Notamacropus eugenii: one gene and its partners. The protein of the gene in region 1 binds, or shares a complex with, the protein of each later gene. Links are inferred from orthologs where the notes say so. Each region holds a gene or a part of one and is shown on either strand. Other genes may lie near its edges.

The links.
Region 2: the proteins of KCND3 (region 1) and KCNIP2 are in contact, whole or in part, in a cryo-EM structure (PDB 7W6S), measured with the Homo sapiens proteins. The link is inferred for Notamacropus eugenii from reciprocal best matches to the Homo sapiens genes KCND3 and KCNIP2. Residues at the interface, in NP_001365898.1 of Homo sapiens: Val5, Ala7, Trp8, Leu9, Phe11, Ala12, Arg13, Ala14, Ala15, Ala16, Ile17, Gly18, Trp19, Met20, Pro21, Val22, Ala23, Asn24, Cys25, Pro26, Met27, Pro28, Leu29, Ala30, Pro31, Asp33, Trp54, Arg60; in NP_775283.1 of Homo sapiens: Arg112, Gly113, Phe114, Asn116, Glu117, Cys118, Val123, Phe128, Ile131, Tyr132, Gln134, Phe135, Phe136, Tyr144, Leu148, Phe152, Phe165, Leu169, Ile172, Leu173, Arg180, Trp183, Ala184, Leu187, Tyr188, Met201, Met205, Ile208, Met211, His228.
Region 3: the proteins of KCND3 (region 1) and KCNIP1 are in contact, whole or in part, in a crystal structure (PDB 2NZ0), measured with the Homo sapiens proteins. The link is inferred for Notamacropus eugenii from reciprocal best matches to the Homo sapiens genes KCND3 and KCNIP1. Residues at the interface, in NP_001365898.1 of Homo sapiens: Ala6, Ala7, Trp8, Leu9, Pro10, Phe11, Ala12, Arg13, Ala14, Ala15, Ala16, Ile17, Gly18, Trp19, Pro21, Val22, Pro26, Met27, Pro28, Leu29, Ala30, Pro31, Lys34, Lys36, Arg37, Asp39, Trp54; in NP_001030009.1 of Homo sapiens: Leu67, Arg69, Gly70, Phe71, Glu74, Val80, Phe85, Ile88, Tyr89, Phe92, Phe93, Tyr101, Leu105, Phe109, Phe122, Ala125, Leu126, Leu129, Leu130, Leu138, Trp140, Thr141, Leu144, Tyr145, Ile161, Val162, Ile165, Tyr166, Met168, Met169.

What each region holds. Positions count from the first base shown.
Region 1 is NC_092873.1:290,858,473-290,865,633, forward strand, and holds the start of KCND3 (A-type voltage-gated potassium channel KCND3), read right to left. Parts: upstream 3,061-7,161; 5' UTR 2,811-3,060; intron 1,969-2,810; exon of another isoform or gene 1,884-1,968; intron 1-1,883. UniProt on the Homo sapiens protein: Pore-forming (alpha) subunit of voltage-gated A-type potassium channels that mediates transmembrane potassium transport in excitable membranes, in brain and heart. In cardiomyocytes, may generate the transient outward potassium current I(To).
Region 2 is NC_092872.1:179,987,746-179,995,009, reverse strand, and holds the start of KCNIP2 (A-type potassium channel modulatory protein KCNIP2), read left to right. Parts: upstream 1-4,258; 5' UTR 4,259-4,329; coding exon 4,330-4,447; intron 4,448-7,264. UniProt on the Homo sapiens protein: Regulatory subunit of Kv4/D (Shal)-type voltage-gated rapidly inactivating A-type potassium channels. Modulates channel density, inactivation kinetics and rate of recovery from inactivation in a calcium-dependent and isoform-specific manner.
Region 3 is NC_092872.1:402,378,126-402,385,694, reverse strand, and holds the start of KCNIP1 (A-type potassium channel modulatory protein KCNIP1), read right to left. Parts: upstream 3,100-7,569; 5' UTR 3,016-3,099; coding exon 2,907-3,015; intron 1-2,906. UniProt on the Homo sapiens protein: Regulatory subunit of Kv4/D (Shal)-type voltage-gated rapidly inactivating A-type potassium channels. Regulates channel density, inactivation kinetics and rate of recovery from inactivation in a calcium-dependent and isoform-specific manner.

The DNA of each region.
Region 1 (7,161 bases):
ACTGCCTATTCAGATCCATTGACTATTTATCAACTGGGGAATGACAAGTATTTTTTATAAATTTGACTCTGTTCTCTATAAATTTGAGAAATGAGACCTTTATCAGAGGCCTTATTGTTGCCAGATTTTTACCAGTTTTTGGCTTTCCTTATAATTTTGGTTGCATTGGTTTTACTTTTGAAAAAAAATTTCTAATTTTATATAATCAAACTTATCTATTTTATATTTTGTAATGCTCTCTATGTCTTCTTTGGTCCTAAATTCTTCCCTTATCCATAAATCTGACAGATAAATTATTCTATGCTCTCTTAATTTGCTTATGGTATCAGTCTTTATGTGTAAGTCATGTTGACCTTATCTAGATTGAAGGCATTTTACAAAATGTTTTCTTGTATTAGAAAGTAAGGGGTCATGGAGGTAGGAAAATCCAAATAAAACACTTCCATGTCTTTAAATCCTCAGGGCTAACTTTCCCTATTCAGTGAGCCTGGGTTACTTTCTCAAACAGGTCAAATAAGCAATTTAGCAATTTCCAGGGGATCCAGACAATTATTGCTCTCTCCCTCACCTCCAGAATCTCTTCCCTCCAGTCTCCACAAAAATGCAAAAAGGGGCAGATTACTCCATTGATTAAATGTCTGACTTTGGGGGTGGGGTGTGGCGTCTTCTCCATTTAACCTGTACTTGGTCCACATAGGAGCCCTACCTTCAGTATAACCTCACAGGTAAGAACTGATTTCACTCTTTGAGCATTCTATAGTATGTCACCCCTTGCTAGGCACCGACAGCTCACCCACAGCCAACCCTAGTATGCATTCCTACAACAGGCAAAGGATCCCGGCCCCGTTTCCAGCCAATGGCGCTGCATACGCCTTGAATGTCAGGTTTTTACTAGGACGTGTACTCTTCCTAAATGGAAAACCTGAAGCTATTTTTGTTTTTGACAGCAGAGTTTGGCAGCAAGAGGGGGGGAGAAGTGGGGGTTGGGGAAGAGAGACACCCCCTGAAACGACAAAGATAAAAAGCACAAGAGAAGGGGAATAGATTTCTCCCTGCTATAAAAAAAAGTTGCCAGCACAATTGCCAAGCTTCTCTTCGGGGTGGGAGAGCATCGCCCTGGGGTTTAGATTTACTTAAGGCTTTAACTTCCAAACTGGGTTAAAGCCTAAAATGCCAGTCACCTGGGTAAGAGTCCATCCAAAGGGAAGTCAGAGAGCAAAGAAGTCAGTTTCTGCCTGCACGGATTCCTGATTTGTAATCTGCCCCGCCCCCCATGAGATAATATTCGTAAAGCTCTTAGCACTGTGTCCAGCACGTAGTAGGCACTATTTCATGCTTATTCCTTTCTTCCCTTCCCTCCGACCATCATTAAAGGGGTGGAATTTAAGGCAAGGAGGGAAGGGAAAGGATAATAAATTGGAAAGTGCCCTAGTTGACCCCAGAAAGCAATTCTTGAACTTGACTAGGTGAACCATTCCCTTGACCCCAAAAGGCTCAGACCATCTGATCCAGAGAGACTCGTTTCTCCTACAGTGCCGCTCCTAGGCCAGCCAGAGCACTCTCCTAAGTGTTTTTCCTTCCTCTTCCACAGCAAAAGGGAAAAATGACTTCTCTCTCCCCCTTGTTACATGCATTTTATCCCACAAGTAGCCTACAACCAGAGATAAACACATCAAGAAATATATTTGAGCCAACATATCTACAATATGTAAATATGCCCATGGGAAGGTAGGATCACCCTATTTGCATACATATGCAGAAACATTTATGATTACAAAAATCATGCACATGGAAACTTTAGGTGCAGGGGCACAAAAGATGTGTACATACATAACACGCAAAATGTATACTGTTTGCTATATAACATATATTTGTTTCCTCAGGACACTTCTACGTTCTTTAAGCATGCAAGAGGGTGAGGAGAAACCATCCATTCTCTAAAGCAATAAAATGGAGATTTTCCTTTACCAGTAGATTCTTCAGCCTGTTGCTTGTATTTCTGTCCCGACCCCAATAACAGGAGGAGGCTTTTATACTGGGCTCAAGTTCAGCATCAGGGAAAGTAAATCAACTCAACTAGTCCAGATGACTTCTCTTATCCTCTGACCCAGTCCTCTGTAAATACCTTAGAAAATATACCCTTTGGCTCCATCTGCCCAAGTCTCGAAGAATCAACCTCTGATTTTAATAGAACCCCTTTGAGAGCGGAAGGACGGAGCAGGACTGGGACAAAAACAGCTGTTCCAAGCCCATCTGACTTCTAGGAGCATAGAGTGCTAGGCTCACTCCGGGCTGGAGAACTTTACCAAGCGCCCTGATTCATTCACTCTCCCTTTCTTCCCTTGCTCCCCTCCCTCAGCAAGCAGGAGTACAGAATCTATCCCATCTGACACCTCTCCCCAACCTGAGCTTTCCGAGCGATCAGTCCCTCTGGGTCCTTAAGGGACAGGGGCCACGATAGAGGTTCCTGGCCCCCAAATGAGAGCACAGCTTTAAGGGATAAGCAGCAAGTGAACATCTAAGCAGAATGCTGGACCTCCAGGCTATCCGCAAGGGAAGGGCGCCCCAGAGTCTGCTCCCTACCCTTCCTCCGGAACCTGGGGGTCGGGAGCGGAGCGCGGAGCACAGCGCCCCCCGCCCCGCCCCCCGCACTCCCCAGCCCTAGTGCCCAGCCCCCAGGGCGTGGGGGAGGGACTCGAGTGGGCAGCTGGAGCAACAGGCGTGGGAGCAACACCTGCGGACCCCTTCCCTCCCCCACCTCGTCCCTTTTACCCCACCCCCAACCCCAATTCCTCGCCCTCTCCTCTTACCTTGGGCGCAGAAAGCCCCCGGCCCCTCCCGCGCCCAGGGCTCCCGGGGAAGCTGCAGCCCGGTGCCCGGAGCCGGGGTCTGGCCGAGGCGGAGGCAGCCCCAGCGGCTCGGAGCCGTGAGCGTGGAACGGTAGCTCGCGGTGCTTCTAGGCGAGGTGAAGTCCGCTCGCTCGCTCTCTCCTTGCGTCCGCCAGGCACTCCGTCCCTCCTCCTCCCCCGCCGCCTCTCCGCTCCGGGCTCGGCAGCGCGCCCCCCTTCCTCCTTCTTTCCTTCCTTCCCTCCCTCCCTCCCTCCCCGGCTGCCCGCCTCGCTTGCTCCTTCGCTCGCTGCCCCCGCCAATCCCGGCGTCGCGGGAAGCCGAGACCAGCGGGCCACCGGCTAGATGGATAGGTCCCTCTCCCTAGGGGGGAGGCCGCGGGGGCGCGGGGCGGGGCCAGGGGGAGGAGGGAAGCGGGGAGCAGGAGCCGTGGGTGGGGGGGATGAATCTGGAGACGAAGACCGCAGGCAGGCTCCTTGGTGCCCGGCGGGTCCGGGCAGGAAGAGCTGCCCCGGCCACAGGCCGGAGAGCTGGGCGCTGCCGTAGCCGCCCGCGAATGGAGAGAGGCGGAGGATCGCTAGCCTAGCGGCCGGGAGGAGGCCCGGGGGCGAGGGTGTGCGAGGGGGAGTGACTCGGTATGCCTGTGCGAGTGTGTGTGTGTGTGTGTGTGTGTGTGTGTGTGTGTGTGTGTGTGTGTGTGTGTGTGTGTGTGTGTGTGTGTGTGTGTGTGTGTGTCTGTGTCTGTGTCTGTGTCTGTGTCTGTGTCTCTGTCTGTCTGTCTGTGTATGGGCGGGTGTGGTGCGCGCACGAGCGAATGTGGGGGAGAGAGAGCGAGAGCGAGAAGCGAGGCTCAGTCTTAGCCTTAGCTTTCTTTCCTTGTGCGTCTCCCTGGGTGAGTGGAGGAATCCGACTGTGTGACTGTATCGAGCGGAGTGTGGAGCCACGAGTGTGAGTGCGTGTGTCCGTGTGGGCACCGGGTGGGGGGAGGGGCCAAGCCAAAGTGCCAGCATGGGTGTGTGAAGCCGGGAATATCCGGAGTATGCTGTGTGTCAGAGAGCACGGGTATCCGTGTGCTCTCGTGGTTGAGGCTATGTGGGCATGTAGGTGATGGTGAAGCTGTGCAAATGAATGTTTGTATAGAGCTGACTGTGTCCACACGGGAGCGCCCCCACCATCACCTGCCTGTGTTTTGACCCCAGCCACCTGGGGAGGCGTCACCTTCGAGCTCCTCTGGGAGTACACTTCTTCAAGCTCCAGGACTTGTTCATCGAATCAAAGCACCGCACCCAGCAGCCCTCGGAGAAGCCCCAGTATTGGCACTCTCTATGCCCCACTATACAACGCTTATACCTTTGCTCTTTCAGGGTGAAGGGACGCCTCTTTTCTTAAAGGGCATGGCTGCTCCGCTAATGGTCCGTTTTGAGAGAGCACAGTATGGTCCGTGTGAGCCTGTTTCGAATCCCCCTTTGCATGTCCCAGACTCGAGGGTCCGAAGTCCGGGCTTCAGAGACTGAACAACCTCATCACTATTCCTGGTGCTTGCACCAAGCTCCCCATCCCCAGAGTCGGACGCTTACCTACTGTCCCTCTGCCCCATACCTTGGGCTCTCAAACCCACGCCCTGATGTTGAGAGGTGAGTGGAGAACGTGGAGAGGCTATACGAGACTGGCCAACTCCAGACTCCCCCTGCAGGGGAGGATGGAGCGTCCTGGAAGAGATTCTCCGACCACTCACTGGTCTCTGGGGTCCGGCAATCTTGATAGGTCCCTGGGGTGCTCAGAACCCAGGGTTTGGGAGAACCTGTCACTTCTCTGGTTCTCCCCAAGAAGATAAAAAAGAGAAATGGCTTCTCTAGGTTGAATGTGTGTGAGAGCGGGTGTGTCTGTTAGGGATGGAAAGGGATATTGATACGTCCTCAGAAGTTCAGTGTGAACCCAAGGTTTGGAAAAAGAACCCACAGGATCATGAAGTCTAGCTTGAGGAGGAGCCAGAATTTTCATCTGATCCCTTTAGAAATGAGAGTCTTCGGGGTAACTGGACATTTGACTGGGTGATGTATTGGGAAACTTACATATTTTCCTCCCACTTTGGAAATGGAATAGAATTCGTAACAATGACCTGCGTACCTGGGAACTTTGTGTGGCAACCAGGCAGCCTGGAAATTTGCCCGAGGTTTTATGAATAATACCCCTTCCCGGAATTCCCCTTTCTCCCTATACTGCCACTCTTAGATTATTGTAGTGACACCAACCAGGCAGCAGGGCATGGGTGAGGATGGGAGACGAAAAGCACCATATAGCAGGTGGGTGTGGACCAGAGGGTGAGGTTGCCAGGAGTCCCAGTGCTGTGTTTGATTAGCATAATGATTTGCATACCGTAATAATGATTAACAACAGTGCCACTCCCTGGTAGATACGGGAAGGATTCAGGGAGATCCTTTGCAGTTTTCCTCTTCCTTTCCCTTCTCTTCCTTTCCCCACCCCCCAAATCCCTCCTGGGCACAACTAATTTTCTAGCAAGTGGTTTGAACTAGGGACTTCGTCTCCTCTGGGAGGATGCTCCTTAACCCTTATAAACTGGCTCAGAGCTCACAGGACATCTTCCAGTACAGTCTCCAAGTACATTTACAAGTTAGTTGTATAATCCCTGACTTTTCTTATTCTTCTTTTTATTATTACTATTAAAAATCATTCACATTTCTTTAACACTTTAAGCCTTACAAAGTCCATTTCACATTAGCTACGGAAGGTAGCTTATACAAGTTTTCCAAATGGGACCACAGAAAGTTCAGAGAAGCTGACCCACTCAGAGCCACACAGTTAGAATTAAGTGAAAATCAAATTCAGGCCTCTTGAGTCCAATACCTGTTTCCTTTCCACTCCACCCACCTACCCACCCTTGATCTAAATCTTGAGAGACTTTATAGTATTTCCATGTGTAGGTTCCTATGCTTTGAACTGGAGTTCATTATCTATTCATCTATCTATCTGTATGTATGTAATATGTGCCTACACACATATGTATGCATATGCATATATGCATACATATATACATATGTACATATACATATGTATGTACGCACCTCTTATGGAATTGTTCTTGAGGTGGGTATCTTCACTAATGGGGAGGTAGGTAGAAGGGAAGGAGAAAGTAGGAAAAAACTTCCTTCTAAAAAGAAACCTTAAGTAATTGACTGCCATCTCTTAGGGATACTTTTAGAGCTAACCTGTGATTTCACTGGAGTAAGGAACTCCATCTACAAATGTAGTTTTGTGATTATTCTGCGACTATTAGTCTTAGAGAGGTGCCCAGAACACTGAAGGGCTAAGTCACTTGTCCACACAACTACTATGTATCACATGTGAGACTCACATCTTCCTACCCACAATATGAAGCTGCCTCTCTCAGAGAGAGTTTAGGGGAAGGAATTAGATGACTCTTCACATACCTCAGAGCCTCATGATTCAGAAAAAAAAATAATATTTTTTTTCCTTTTCCTTTCCTCCAAAATGACGGGACAACAGAAACAACAAAAAACACTTTTATTTTCTCTTATAATCAAGTGGCCTAGAGAACATGAGATTAAAATGTCTAGGACAAGGCTTCTTGGAATGTGAGGCAATCATAGATTCTCTTCAGCTGTAAAATTCTTAGAGATCATCTAGTCCAACTGTTTTATTTTCCAAAGGGCTGGAGCAGTTGAATGATTTGCCTAAGGTTCATACCTCTGATGAGAGGCAGAGTTAGGTTATGGAGCCCAAGGTCCGTTCACTCAGGGCCACAGCTCCTTGAACACCACCCGATGCTTCTTAGGCTTGTGCAGCTAGTTAGGGCTCTCCCTTTTCCTCATTTTCCCAGAGTCTCCCAGTCTCTCTTTGGCTGCCTGTCCTCACCTTTTCTCTCCTTTGCCTCTGGCCTGGCCGGGATTTTCAGTTGCTTTTCCCCCATGACTCGGCCGCCTTTCCTTTACTCTCAGCTTCTATTTAAAAAGCTAATTTGGGAGCTTGGTCGATGCTCCCAATTCAGGCATTGTAAATGGGAAATGAAAGTCAGAGAGTGTCTTTCTCCAGAAGCTGCCGAAGTCCTGGCTTTTTTTTTTTTTTCTGTTTGCCACCAGCCTGGCTGTGGCATTCGGGAGCTCCTGCACTCCTGTCTCGGCTGCTTTTAACAGGGGTTTGTATGTCCTTTCCAACCTGGGCACCCATGAGAATGACTCTCTGACTACTCTTTGTAGAGCTTTTCACTGTTGGCACCTCTGCTTGGCAGCCTTGCGGTCAAGCTTGAACCTCCTGGTCCCTGACAGCTATACCACC
Region 2 (7,264 bases), on another chromosome or scaffold:
TCCACCCTGAAGACCACCTCTGGAATGGATGGGGTGCCTGCTTATATATTTGTGTGGTGGAAGGATGTAAATATAAGTACTTACATCCCTGTAGTATAAGACAAATTCAGTTATGTATATAAATATGTATGCAATTCTGTGGCAGGTTTATCCATGTACATATTCTTATATGTTTACTTTATGTCTATATTTGTGTGTTCATGCATCTATCTCAGAAGCTAGGTTGAGGTAATCTCAATGAGTTTAGGGCAAAACTGATGAAGGTATGAAAATGGCTATGACCATGAGCTTTATGAGGGAATACAAACATGAGCCATCACAAAAAGGGATTGTAGTGGAGACGGTTAGGGGTAGAAGGAACAAGCTGTACCTGCTCTCTGCTCCTGGGACCCCATCACATTTTTTGGTCTATATTGGGGTTTCCCCTTCAGGTCCCATAGGACCAGGCTGGTGTCAGGTCTCCCAAGAAAAGTAGAGGAGAATTCAGGGTTCTAGGTGCCTATTGTTTTACCCCAGGCCCTGCTCTCCTACTGTTTCTAGCCTGGGCCTTGGACAAATTGGGGAAGATAGAAGAGGACTTAATTACCACCTTATTAATAATTTATTTTTCCCAATTAATTAACTATCCCATTAGAGGGTCATCCTCTCCACCCTGTAAAAATGGAATAACATAACAAGGGCCAGCAAGGGTTTAAATATTTTTGGTGAGAGGACCCACTCAACATATTCAAGGGTGATCTTGGACTAGTTGCTTCCATTCTTTGGACTTGTTTTCTCTGAAAATGGAAACAACAATCCTTAACTTTTGTTGTAGGGCTAGCAGGATATAGCTGATGGGGCCCACTTTAAGAAGTAAAATAGAAAGTTCATGGTTGGAAAGGGTAACTGAGAGGGTAAGAATGAAGGCAAAGCTGTAAATGCGAAGAATGGAATAGAAATTGATGGGCTTTTCCCAGAACTGTCGCTGTCCACAGTGCTGAAATATGTGATCTAGGACAAGAAGACGGGCTCTGAGTTTTCTATAAAAATTACAGAAAGGTTTTGTTGTTTTGGGCAGATAGAAGTCTGTTCTCCAGGACTAGGCCTGTCTTAGTATTCACTGTGGAGGAGGTCTCTCTTCCAGGACTAGGTGCTGGGGAGACAAACCTGAGGCAGAGATACTTTCTTTGTCCCCATCTGAAGGTGCAGGGAAGGGAGGAGACTTTCTGTACCCTCCTGGATTTGACTGGAGACTAGGCTGGGGTAAGGGCAGCAGAATCTGTTCCTATTCTGGACTTGGGCCTGAGAGGATTGGTTTTCTGTCCCCATCTGTGATTGGAAGTGAAAGTCTCTTAGTCTCTATTTAGGTCTTGGGGTGGGGGTAGGGGCAGTGGAAATCTTTCTGTCCTAGGACTGAGTCCTTGAGGAGAGGCTCCCTGTTCCTCCTGCCCTGTCCTGGTACTGGATGCCTTTCTGTTCCCTTGTTGATTGGGGGTTAGAGAGGGAAGAAAAAAGAGGTGTTGCTCCTTCTGTCCCAGATCTGTGCGTGTGTGTGTGTGTGTGTGTGTGTGTGTGTGTGTTCCAGGTTCACTGGAGTTGTCTTTCTATCTTACTATCCCAGGTCTGTGTGTGTGTGTGTGTGTGTGTGTATGTGTGTATGTGTGTTTTCCAGGTACCCTGGAGTTGTCTTTCTATCCTACTGAAGATCTTTCTGTCTTTCTATTCTACTGTCCCAGGTCTCTGTGCCTTTGTCTATATCTATATCTGTGTATGTGTTCAACGTTTCCTGGAGTTGTCTTTTTGTACTATTGTCCCAGATCTGTGTGTTTGTGTGGGTTCTTAACATTTTGGTTGTTGTTGTTGTGAGCCTCTTTGGCAATCTGGTGAAACCTGTGGACTCCTCAGAATGATTTGTTTTTCTATCCTACTGTCCCAGGTATCTATTCGTGTGTGTGTTTGTGTTTGAGGTTCTCTGGAATTGTCTTTCATTGCTTCTGTCCTAGGTCTCTGTCCTTGTCTATGTCTGTGTGTGTATTCAAAGTTTCCTGGAGTTGTCTTTCTATACTATTGTCCCAGATGTGTGTGTGTGTGTGTGTGTGTGTATGTGTGTGTGTATTCAAAGTTCCCTGGAGTTGTCTTTCTGGCCTATTGTCCTAGCTCTTTGTGTTTGTCTATGTGTTTCTGTGTGTGTTCCAGGTTTCCTGGAGTTGTCTTTCTATCCTATTGTCCCAGGTCAGTGTGTGTGTGTGTGTGTGTGTGTGTGTGTGTGTGTGTTTAAAGTTTCCTGAAATTGTCTTTCTGTACTATCGTCCCAGGTCTGTGTGTTTGTGTGTCTGTGTGTGTTCAAGGTTCTCTGGAGTTGTCTTTCTGTACTATTGTTCCAGATCTGTGTGTGTGTGTGTTTGTCCAAGGTTTCCTGGAGTTGTCTTTTCATCCTACTGTCCCAGGTCTTTATATGTTTGTCTATCTGACTGTCTGAGGTTCCTCGGAGTTATCTTTCCAGCCTACTGTTCCAGGTGTGTGTGTGTGTGTGTGTGTGTGTGTGTGTGTGTGTGTGTGTATGAGAGAGAGAGAGAGAGAGAGAGAGAGAGAGAGAGAGAGTTCAAAGCTCCCTGGAGTTGTCTTTCTATTCTCTTGTCCCAGGTCTCTGTGTATTTGTCTGTGTGTGTATGTATGTATTTTTCAGGTTCACCGGAGTTGTCTTTCTACTGTCCCAGGTCTTTGTGTTTGTCTATGTGTGTCTGTGTGTGTTCCAAGTTTCCTGGAGTTGCCTTTCTATCCTTCTGTCCCAGGTGTGTGTGTATGTGTGCATGTGTGTGTGTGTTTGAGGAGGATGGGTTGAGGTTTGGTATTGTGCCAGGTCTCTGTGTCTTTGTCTGTGTCTATGTCTGTGTGTGTGTTCAAGGTTTCCTGAAATTGTCTTTCTGTACTGTTGTCCCAGATCTATGTATTTGTCTACGTTTGTTTGTGTATTTCCAAGGGTCCCTCTAGTTGTCCTTCTGTCCTACTGTCCCAGGTCTCTGTATGTTTGTGTGTGTGTTTGTGTGTGTGTTTGAGGTTCCTTAGATTTGTCTTTCTTTTCTATTGTTCTAGGTGTCTGTGTATTTGTCTATGGGTGTGTGTTTGTGTGTCAGCGGGTGTGTCTTTTCGAGGTTCCCCTAGATTTGTCTTTCTGTCCTATCGTCCCAGATCTGTACCCTCTCCAGGAATTGTCTCTTCGTCCCTGCCTTGAGTCCTGGGAAGATTCTCTCTCCCCCGTGGTAAGAAGTCTTTGTCCTGCCTGGGTCTTCATGTTTCTCTGTTCCTGCCTGGGATCCTTGAGAAAGAAACTTTTATTCAACCTGCTTGGGGAGGAGAGAAGGGGCAGGGGTCGTGGGGAGGGAGCGATGAAAGATCATGCTTCCTACAGACAGGGGCCAAGGTGCTCTTGCCAGTAGTGATTACACGCGTTCCAAGGGATGGGGCGCCCTCGTGTGGCAGACGGGCTGCGCGCGGGACAGGAAAAGACCAGAGGAGCCTCGGATATTAAAGGGAGTCAAAGCGGATCAGAGCCTGGGGTCCTGAGTGCGAATCACTCATGTCAGATCTCTGCACTGCCGGCGTTACCCAGAATCTTGGAGTGGGTCGGTGTGGTGGGACTGCTACAGGGACCCGAGGACTTAGTTTTGAAGTGTTGTGGGTTTGGCGGGGAGAAGGGAGTGGGCTTGGAGTGAGCAAGGGTAGAGACGGCAGAGGGGAGCTCTGAGGTGACAGAGAAACCTTAGAATGAGGGAGGAGACCCTTGGAAGACACAAGAAGCTTAAGGAGGAGACAGAAATCAGAAGACTGAGGGAGGCAGAGAAAGAAAGGGATTCAGAGAAAAACAGACGAGAGACAGGGTACGAAAATCAGAGAGGTGGACACAGGCACAGTCAAATCACCTGTCACCTCCCCCTCACCGCGCTTTTGTTGTTTCTAATGACAACCATGCCCCCCAGGCCTGACCTCCTAACCTCAAAATATCTAGGGGGTCGGAAACCCGGGAAATAGAGGTGGAGGAGCGGAAGAAAGGAAAGCTCTTCCCACTTCCCACCCTCACCCTGTCTCCCCTACTCCAACCCGCAGCCATCTCCTTCCATATACTCCCACTGAGGAAATAATCAGAGACCCGACATTTTTGAGAAACTTTTCCCCAAGTATTGGGGTGGGGGATGGGAGACTATGTCAGGAGAGAGCTCCGCCTTCCCCAAAGACCTGCCCTCCCCCCCACTGAAGCCAATGATCCCTCTTCCCGACAGCCAGTTCTTTCTTCTCCCAGGAGGGCTCAGAGGCCAGAGCCACCCACTTTTGTGGGGGGCCAGTGGCTAAGGGATGGGGTGTGTCGGGGACAGCAACAACAGCATGAGCTGGTGCCCGGTCAGCTGCCGGAGCCCCCTGGGACATGCTGCCCGATCCCTATTCCAGTTTGTGACCGGGACACTGGCGCCAGGTTCGAGGGAGGAAGGGAGAGGCCACTGCTGGATTTGAAAGACCAGAATTAAGGAGTAAAGGTGGGGGGTTGGGACCGTAGGACCCCTGGCAAAGGTGCCAGGACTCAGGGCATCCAGCATCTAGGGCTTAGAGTCTCAACTGGTGAATATCTGACTGGGAGGGTACAAGAGGTGGGGCTGGAAACACATCATCTGGGATGGGAAGACAGCCTCAGGGTTGGTGAATTTTATAGGTTTGTGTGGCCTTGGGAGTTTGCCGGAGCTGTGTAACTCTGAATTTATATAGGATTGTATGGGTCGGATTGGATTGCTTAGTACAGGCATTGTACTGCAGTATGTGGGAAGTTGTATAGCATTCTTTCAATATGTGTGTCAGATTTGTTAGGGTTGGGGAAGGGGATGTTTTCTGTGTCATTGACGTGAGGGCTGTATAGCTCTGGAGTTTTGTGGCATTGTGTAGCACCAAAGTTAAAGTTGTGTAAGTCTGGAATTATATAGCATTCATGAGGCTGTGTGGGTTGTACTGTCCTCCATTGTGTGGCTCTGGGATTGTGTTGGGTTATCACAATTATGGGACGTTTTGTTAAGTTTTGTACCACTGGGTTTATGCAGGGTTGTGAATGACATATGTAGAGTTGGGAGACTGAAGAGTTTCCATTTGTCCTAATCCATTATTTGGAAATACAAATTCTGAAATGTCTTGTTACGCCTCTCTTGTAAAGACTAGGGCAGTCCAGCCCCTAAAATGCTGGGGTTTATAGTTTCCAGGCTATATCAGAGCAGGAGGTTACCTGGGGTCAAAGTTCTCCTATCCTGGAGACCCTCTAAGAGCTGTTCTTGCCTTTACCTGGGGCTTCTGCTGCCTAGTGCTCCAACAGGGAGTTGAAGGAGTGCTTAGAGATCTCTTGGTGGCTCATTCTCCACCCCTTACTGGGACCTGTCAGCTGATGATGGATGGCAGAAGCCCTGCTTGGCTAACTCTCAATCACCAGGGCCGTGACTTCCCAAAATAGCCCCACCAATCTCGGAAGGTCATTAATAACCTAGTCTAGCAACTGGGATTTGAAGTGGCCTTACCCTGTCCTAGGAGGGAGGGACCAGAATTGGGAGGGGTGGGTGGAAAGAGGGAAGGCATAGAGCCTTTTGCAAAGATTCCAGGGCCTTGTTCAGGCTCCTACAGCCAGACTCCAAGGGAAGGCAAGGAGCTACAGCTAACTGGGAAAGTTCTTCTGGCAGCTGAAACTGGCCCTCCCTACTCGCTGATCACCTCCCACCTCCAGGACCTAGCAACAACCAATATCTCATCTAAGTGATGGAGGTGTTCCTCCAACTTGCCCCACTTAGCAAAAGTGACTTCTAAGTTCCCAACTTTGAGGTGTGTGGGATTAGATTAATGACAAAAACCCAGCTGGAGCCCAGAGTAGGAGATGGAGTACATGGGAGTAATAATATGTCATGTATCTAAGTGATTTAAGGTTTACAAAATACTTTCTTCACAACAAGCCTATGAGGTATGTAATGTTACCAACTTTTAAAAGTGAGGCTCAGAGAGGTTAGTGACATGCCAGAAGTTCCAGACTCATAGAGTTGGGAAATATAAGGGCCAGGAGTTGAATTTGGACCTTCTGAGTCTAAGTCATTATTCTTTCCATTACGCTATGATACTCGAGATTTCAGGAGAAAGGAAAGTAGAGGGTACCTCTCTACTCCCCCCCCCAATAAAAATTTTTACCTCATCCTTCTATCACTGATACCTACCATTATGGGTTGATTATTATCTTCCATTAAGTAGAGTTTAATGATGAATCATGGGATATTTAGGAAAGGAGTTGTGGGTGATAGAGGGAGAATAGCCTAAGGGTCCCTGGAACAGTAAGGGGCCCTGAAGATGTACTCTAAATAAGTCTCTCTGATGGTTGCTGAAAAGGATAATAATAACTGTCCTTTCTCCCAAGGTGCTTATAGTCTAGTAAGGGAGTTAAGACCTGTGCATCCATGATTTAGGAACCAGAAGAGAGGGACAATGTGTTCTGGAGGTTCAGAAGGAGAGGTCGCTGCTTGCTGAGGGGATGAGAGGAACTTCCTGAAGGAGAGGGAATTTGAGCTGTGTAACGAAAGCAGGTAGGATTTCAACAAACAGAGCCATTTCAGGCTAGGGAATATATCTTGAGCAAGGGCAATGAGAAGCTTGAGGTACATTTGAGGAAACGTATGCAATCCAATTTGTCTGTGATACGTAGTAGGAAATAGTAGGAGATAAAGCTAGAAAGATGAATTGGAGCCAGATTGTAAAGGGTTTTGAATTCTTATCTGAGGAGTTTATACTTTGTTCTATAGACTATAGAGTAATTGAAGGTCTTTAAGCAGGTAGGTAGGATTATTGGAGCTGAATTTTAAAGTTAATATTCCAGCAGCTGCATAGGATATATTAGAAAGGGGTAAGAATCTGAAAAGAAGGTAGAGGAGACTAAAGATACAGAACTAGAAATGGATTGATTGAACATAGGTGATGAGAAAAGGGGAATATGATTAGATATAGTCAGGCAGTAAACTAGCTTTTATTAAGTGCCTATTGTGTGCCAGGTACTGTATTAAGTACAGGAGATACAAAGAAAAGCAAAAGACAGTCCCCGCTGTCAAGGATCTCACAGTCTAATGGGGGAGATGTGCAAGCAACTATGTCCAAACAAGATATAGACCGAAGAAATTGGAGATAATTAATAAAAGGAAGGCACTGGCATTTAGGGTCATCAGGAAAGACTTTTTGTAGAAGGGATTTTAGCTGGGATTTGAAAGAAGCCAGGGAATCAAAGCGG
Region 3 (7,569 bases), on another chromosome or scaffold:
TCAGCTCATAAACAGACGCCTGACAGTAACGTCTGTGCCTCTGGCATGCCAAGACATCAAGAAGAAAAGTCAAACCTCCAACCAACTCTCCAGATGTTCCCCCTCCAGCTGTTATAATGGTGTGCTTGACAGCCAAAATGAAAGGTTATATTGCCTGAGGATGGAACATGTGCTTTAAAACCAAGAAATTGAGTTTCTGCAACTTTAGGTTGGATGCAGATGCTGACTTTTTCTTATAGATACACTCTATATACCATAGAAGTCTAGGCAAGCAATTTAGTTTTTCCAGAAGAACCAAGCAAGCTCAGGGATATCAAAAGGATGACTTGTTGTCCTCCAGTGCCATACTAGTGACCTTCAGAGCTAAACTAGGCCCAAATAGGTCCCAGATATACACTAGAGGCAGAGTGCAGACCTCTGTGAAGGGAGGAGCTCCATATAGTAGGTATACCAGTTAAAAATGATATTAGGAAGCACATAGTAAAAGGATATCCATGAGTCTCAGTACATGTTATAATAATAATAATACCTAGCATTTATAGAGCATCGAATTGTGTTAGGTACTATGCTAAGTGCTTTGTAAGATTTATCTTATTTGATTCTCACCACAACCCTGCAAGGTAGGTACAGTTATTATCCCCATTTTACAGTTGAGGAAACTGAGGCAAATAGAATTTAAGTGACTTGTCCAGGGTCATAGAGCTAGTGAATATCTGAGACTGAATTTAAATTTGGATTTTCCTGACCCCGGGTCCAATACTCTATCCACAGCATCCCCTAGCAGTAAGTATGTTCAGTTGTTTTTTCCAATTGTGTCTTACTTTTTGGGACCTCATTGGGATTTTCTTGGCAGAGATACTGGAGTGGTTTGCCATTTCCTTCTCCAGTTCATTTTACAGATGAGGAAACTGAGGCAAACAGGATTAAATAATTTGCCCAAGGTCATATAGCTAGTAAGTATTTGAGGTCAGATTTGAATTTAGGAAGATGAGTCTTCTAGACTTCAGGTCCAGCCTCTGTGCATTATGGTGCCACCTAGCCGCCCACTTAGCAGTATGGTATGTTACAAATACAATGTCGAGGGGGAGGGGAAAGCTGTCTAGATTGGTTTTATGGTATTGGGTTCCCAACCGGATAAAAAAACCAAAAGAAAACATGATTGTGTTGTCAAGTTAAAGTATAATGTACAATCACCTTGTCTCACTAACATCCCTGATTTGCTTTGGCTGGGAAAATAACATGGCTGAAACTGTACAGGAGTAATTGAGTTAACTGTGTTCTTAGAAAGCCCTAAATTCTACCTCTGGGGAATGAAGGTGGAAACACCTAATATGAAAATGAGTTCCAGATGACCTCCCCACCCCCACCCCGGCAAAATCCCCAGGCTCTTCTTTTGTGAGTAATTTCTCTGAACAAGTTGGAAAGTTATCCCTGGAGAGGGGTAAAGACATCCAGAGTAAGTTCTGAATTGTGGTCCCTTTCAGAAACATGTGGTAGTAGAGCACTGAATCACACACAAAAGCTAACTGAGGGAAAGGAAGGTATACATCTATCTATATCGATATATATATATATATATATATATACACATATGTATATCTATCTGTCTATGTATATACTTAAGCAAATTGGAAAGGATATTAGTGATCACCTAATCTAACTACTCCTTTGGGAAGTTAATGCCTGAAGAGCCAGGAGTGACTTGTTCTCAATCACAAAGCTTGGTCAGTGGCAAAGCAGGAGGGGCCTAGAATCTTTGTCTTATGACTCTTTATTGAATAATTCTTCACAATAGTTTTTCATGTTAGGCTTGTTTATTATGGAAAATTTCCATATGTGCTTCAGCTTTCCAACCATAGGGTAATAGTTCAATGGAATCTATTCCTTTCCTCAATCCACCAGTAGCTAGCTAATACGAACCTAGATAACTCATTCTTTATCTTTGGCCGGGTATTTTCTGGTAATTCAAATAAGTGTTTCTGGGAACATTTCACATCATTCTGTCATTCTCAGGGAAAAAAAATCCACTTCTTTTTACACATGTAGTGAACTTGTGGTGAGCTGTTTCTCTGTGTAGCTCGTTAACATAGGAATCGTTCTAGATGTCTAAAACACTTTGACCATCAAAAATGTATTTCCAGAAGATTGCATTGCAATGAATTGCCCTTTACCTGGAAAAAAAATGTGGCTGAATAAGATTTTTATTCCCTCAGCCCCTTAATTAAGTCTTGCAGCTCAACTGCCCTAGTTTTTCTAATTCTAAATACCCTGTTTCCCTGGATTTATGGCTATATATCATCTCAGTGGATGGGAGGCTCGAATTAGAAATTAATGGAAGTGAGTGGGGAGGGAGGGGCATCATATTGGAAGTCAAAGAAAAAAAGATTAAAAAAAGGCATCAGTCTTAAAACAAGAAGTTAGCTGAAAACATATATTCTCTAAAAGTTACTGTTCATCATAGACTCATTCAGTGGGCATGACAGCCAATAAATAACCAGAAGAGATATAATACACCTATATCAGGGAGAGTGAAATAGAACTCTGCTACCCCTGCCCCCCTGCTCCCCTGCTCCCTGCCTCCTTGTAGGAGAATGGTAGTATTCTAATCTCACACATAGCCAGTCTCACCTCCCTCCAATTCCCATCCATATTTAACAAGCATTAAAAAGATAGGGATCTATACATCTGCGTGCTGGAAAGGAAGTACCTGACTGTCCCCCATACCCAGGGCACTTAAAACACACACACACACACACACACACACACACACACACACAACACACACACACACACACACACACACACACACACACACACACACACACACACACACACACACACACACTCCTAGCAAGCAACATCTGAAACCACATTCACAAAGAATGAAAACTTATCAGTCTGCTTACCATCCGACAAGTCAATTAGGCCAAGGTAGTGTAAAAGTTTCAGAGAGGAGCATATCACCACCACAATCCCTAATGTCTGAAGTCCCTCGGAGTCCCCTTTACTCCACATGCTCACAGATACCCGCTGGCACGAGAACAAAATAACCAGCAGACATCTAAAGCTCCAGAACAGTCAGATCAAAAGCTCCCTGCCCACCAGTCCAATAACTGAATGGCTCATTTTCCCTCCCTGCCTCTCTTTCCTCATACTCCCTCTCTTCCTATTTCCCTCCCTCCCTTCCTCCCTCCCTCCCTTCCTTCCTCTCTTTTCACTCTGCCAGCTCCCTCTCCCCTTCCTTCCAGCATGCAGTCTCAGCATTTAGTGGTAATCTTTGGTTTGTTTTTTTCCCCTTTTCTTTCCTTTCTCTCCTCAGGGCAGTTCCAGGGCAGTTTGGTTTTTGTTTTTCAACAAGCCTCAGAAATAACTGCCAAACCCCGAGATATTTCAAACCATTTCTAATCTGGGACTCAGAGCAATTTTCTCATTCTTGGTCATTTTCAGAGAAATCATATTTGTTGTCAGAACACAAAGATTTCCTGCTCTTGGTCTTTGGGGAGCTGGGAGGATAAAACCCATTGAAAAAGAACATGACACGCTTGTTTGTTCCACCTCTCTTTGTGACACATTTACTGAGCAGATTTTCCAGGTGGAAGTGTCCCTCTATCTTTATGATTCAGTGCATTCCTGGAAACCATATCCTAAGGCAGATTACTCCAAAAGTGGACTGAGCAGCGGCTGTGGTGTTTGTCTGCTGGAATAGTTCAGCATTAATATTATTTCCGTTATTGGAAATGGCTGAGTGAGCAGGAGGTCATGAAGTGAATTTTAGGTGCCTGTTAGTGTTTAACGAAGGAGGTTGAAGGATTGTCTGAGTTTTCAAAACTGGAAGCCAGAAGAGTGGATTTGAGCTCTGGGGTCTGTTGGAAAATGGTACATTTTTATATGATGAGGGTGTAGGCCTTTCCTTGGGGGCTTGGAGGAGGCATGGTCCCAGTTGTGGGAAAAGGCAAGATGGATTCTCCTTGCACAGTGATCTAGCCCTGGGTAAAATTGTGAAGTGAAAAAGTCGGTCATCTTCCTCCTTTTTCATATTCTTTGTTCTATTTTAGGACCCAGGTCTCTTGTGGAGGATACTCAACTAGGTATCAGGAGACTTGGGTTCCAGTCATACCTCTGTTACCTACTAGAAATGCAACACTGGGCGTTACCTCTCTTGGCCTCAGTTTCCTCAACTGTTAAAGGAATGGTTTAGAGTAAGTGATTTCTCAGGTCCCTTAGAAATCTGATTATGATTTTAGGTCCCTCCTATCAATCTGCTAATTGATTTCATGCCAAGGTGCTATTGATAATATCTTTCTCTTTGGATATATTTTTAGTTTAAAAGAACATGCTTATAGAGTCCAGTGCTTAGCCAAAAGCAATGAATCCCTAATGGTAGAAATTCAGCCCCTAACATATCTTAATGGAAGAATAATTTGAGCCAAGTGGTTTTTCTGATGACCCTCAAATCACACCAACTGTCTATTGTGCCTACATATCTAATCAATTTGAATCATCTCAGAGAAGCAACAAGCCATAGTGGATAGAGGACTACACAGAATTAAAAAAGATATGAGTTCATGGGATGATCAGATTTTAGATTTATTTGGTCCAACCCCCTCATTTTACAGGTACAGAAACTGAGGCCAAGAGACGTATAATGCTTTTTCCGAGGTTATTAAGTCACAGAGTTCAGATTTGAACCCAGAGTTCTCTGACTCCAAGACCATATCGAGTTCTGTCTCTTGAACTAACTAGTTTTGTGATCTTGGGAAAATCACTTAACCTTTCTGAAGTTCCAGATTCCTCATCTCAGGGAGTTGTAGTGTAGATCAATTGGGAATAAATGTGCAATATGGAAAGTCAGAACTCACACACAAGAACAAGGGCATCCTGGACTAGGAGGTTAGCATGGAGTCTCCACTTCAACTCAGGGTTCTACATGCTCTCCCTAAACTGAAGCACCTGCTGGAATCCTTGTCCTAGAGATATAATATTTCCATTTTTCCTTAAAAGAGACATTCCAGATTTCTGAAATTAGCCTAGGAAAAGGAAGCATTGGGCTTGGAGTCAGGAAGACTCATCTTTGTGAGTTCAAATCTGGCCTCAGACCCTTAATAGCTGTATGACCCCCGGCAAGACAATTAATCCTGTTTGCTTCAGTTTCCTCACCCTGTAAAATGAGTTGGAGAAGAAAATGGCAAACCACTCCAAGTATCTCTGCTAAGAAAACCCTAAACGGGGTCACGAAGACTCAGGCATGACTGAAACAACTAAAATTTCAAGGTTAATGCCTATTCTGATGAGCAACATGTGTGGAAGAACAAATAATATTTCAAGATGGTTCAATTTACAAAAATAAAACAAAAAAGGAAAACAAGAGCCTCTATTTGGGACAATGATTGGGTTTCCAGTTTTGTACAGGAGACTATGGTAGGTATTCATACAAATAGAACTTTCTGGCTATTCTTAAAAAGCAATGTGATAATATATTACTTAGGGTAATAATAAAAAATGAACATCTGTCAAAATAACAAGCTTGGTGCCAAGAACGTTGTAGTGTCTTTGTTTACTCTGTTTACTCATTAAAATGAGCTAAGTGGAGCAGTGGAGAGAGTGTTGAGCTAGGAGTTACAGAGACCTTGCTTCAGTCCTTGCCTCAGATATTTACTAAATGTGTAAATAGCTCAATAAATAGCTTAACCTCATCTCTAATGAAGGATAATAATAGTACACCCACCTTTTTGCAAGGTTCAAATGAGATAATATATATAATGCACTTTACAAGCCTTAAAGCTCTATATTAATGTTAGCTGTTACTATAATGATCAATTCAGTAATCACTAAAAATTCTACTCTTCCTCACAGATCTCCTACATCTTTCTTGTAAATGACACATTGTGCCACTGTCTGAATTTGGCCAGTATTGCCTTTCTAGACATTGGCAGTATCCTCACTACGCTTTTCCCAGGCTGCACAGATGGTTTACAGTTTGACAGTTAGGCAGCTGAATAATGACAATCTTTACCAAACCACAGGATACAGAGATCACCTTGCATTCATGGACACTGGGGGAATGGAGGTGGGTGGGTGGGGACTAGACAATGAATGGAAGTTATGCTTGACTTATCCAGACTGAAAGAATATTAATTCTTTCCTTGTCAGACACAAAAACAGCCAGATGGAATCTCTAGACATTGGAGGACAGAGCAGCATCACCCAAAAGTGTGGGGCATTCCTTGCAAGTTTGCACGGTGAATTTAGTTTGTTTCTATCCAAAGCCTTCACTTTTATGGTTAAACAAAACCAGATAAAGTACTGTGTCTACCTTTGATTAGGGGAATGCTGACAACTCATGGACCACTGGCTGTCCTGTGCATGACATAGGACATTTGAGTAATAAGAGCTAGCATTTACATAGTTTTTTAAGTTTTACATGCATAATTCACACATTTTCTTATGAAGGTATTGGTTTTGCTTCTCTCAGATTAAATTGTCCTTCACTTCTGTATATTTACATTCCCAATCTGTTGTTCTCTCTTTTGTTTTTCAAGTGAGACTTGCCATGGCAGATACCAGTTTTACTATTCCATCCATTTTATTTTATTTTGCAGGTCATAAATTCTGCTCTGATTTCTCTTTTGAACCATTCATTAACAGCATATTGTGATTTCATGCTCTCCTGCCATTCCACAGGGTCCTCTGGCTTATCAAATGTTTGATCATTTTCTTCTGTTTTGCAGTATTTATTCATGGATTCTTGAACTTGTTTACTAGATCTGGAGGAAATAATTCCTTCTGTTGTTACTGTTTTCCCTGTTGATTTAACTGCTTATGGTCAAGGTCTTGAGTTTTCATCTTCCTGTTTTCTCTGGATATTTCAGTCTTATTCCCCTATTCTCCTCTGACTCTGCCCCCTCTGATGATGGTTTCCTTTGGAGGCTGGGTTTTAAAAGATCTCTCAGCCTTCTCCCATGCTAGGCAACTCATGATTCTTCAGCCTAGGACTCTGCCCTGGGTGACTTTTGGGTGGTCAGAATTGACCCCACTTGTACATTGTGCTCTTTCCCTCAGGCTTAGTGGAATGCTGCATAGTCTACCACACATGGTGTGCTGTCCTGGTGGCTTGTCTCACTCTCTCTGTTTCTTAGTTTTCTGGCCCTTCGCTAGAAGTTCAGAGGGCTACTGCATTGCTTATATGAGGCTGTCTACCCAGGAATGGCAGTTCAGAGCTTTGCAACACTGGTGCTATGGGGTTGTGGTTCCCATCAGACATTTGTTCCTGAAGGGCTGTAGCCATGTTAGACATTTGTCTCCACCAGGGGAAACTTCTGCATCCTGCAGCTAGGGTCTCTGTAGTACTGGAAGAAAGGAGAGGGGTCTAGGGTGTGGTGGTGGGCTTTGTTGTAAGCCTGTGTTGGATCCTTGGGTATGCTAGTGTAGCCTCTCTTCAGGTAGCTTGGGACGTAGAAGAGGGCTGTTGAATAGGCTTAGAGTCAGTGAGCATCAGTTTGTGCATTTGGGTTTTTTAAAACCTTTTCTTGAATTCTGGATGTCCTACACCATGGAGATAACTGAGGTTGC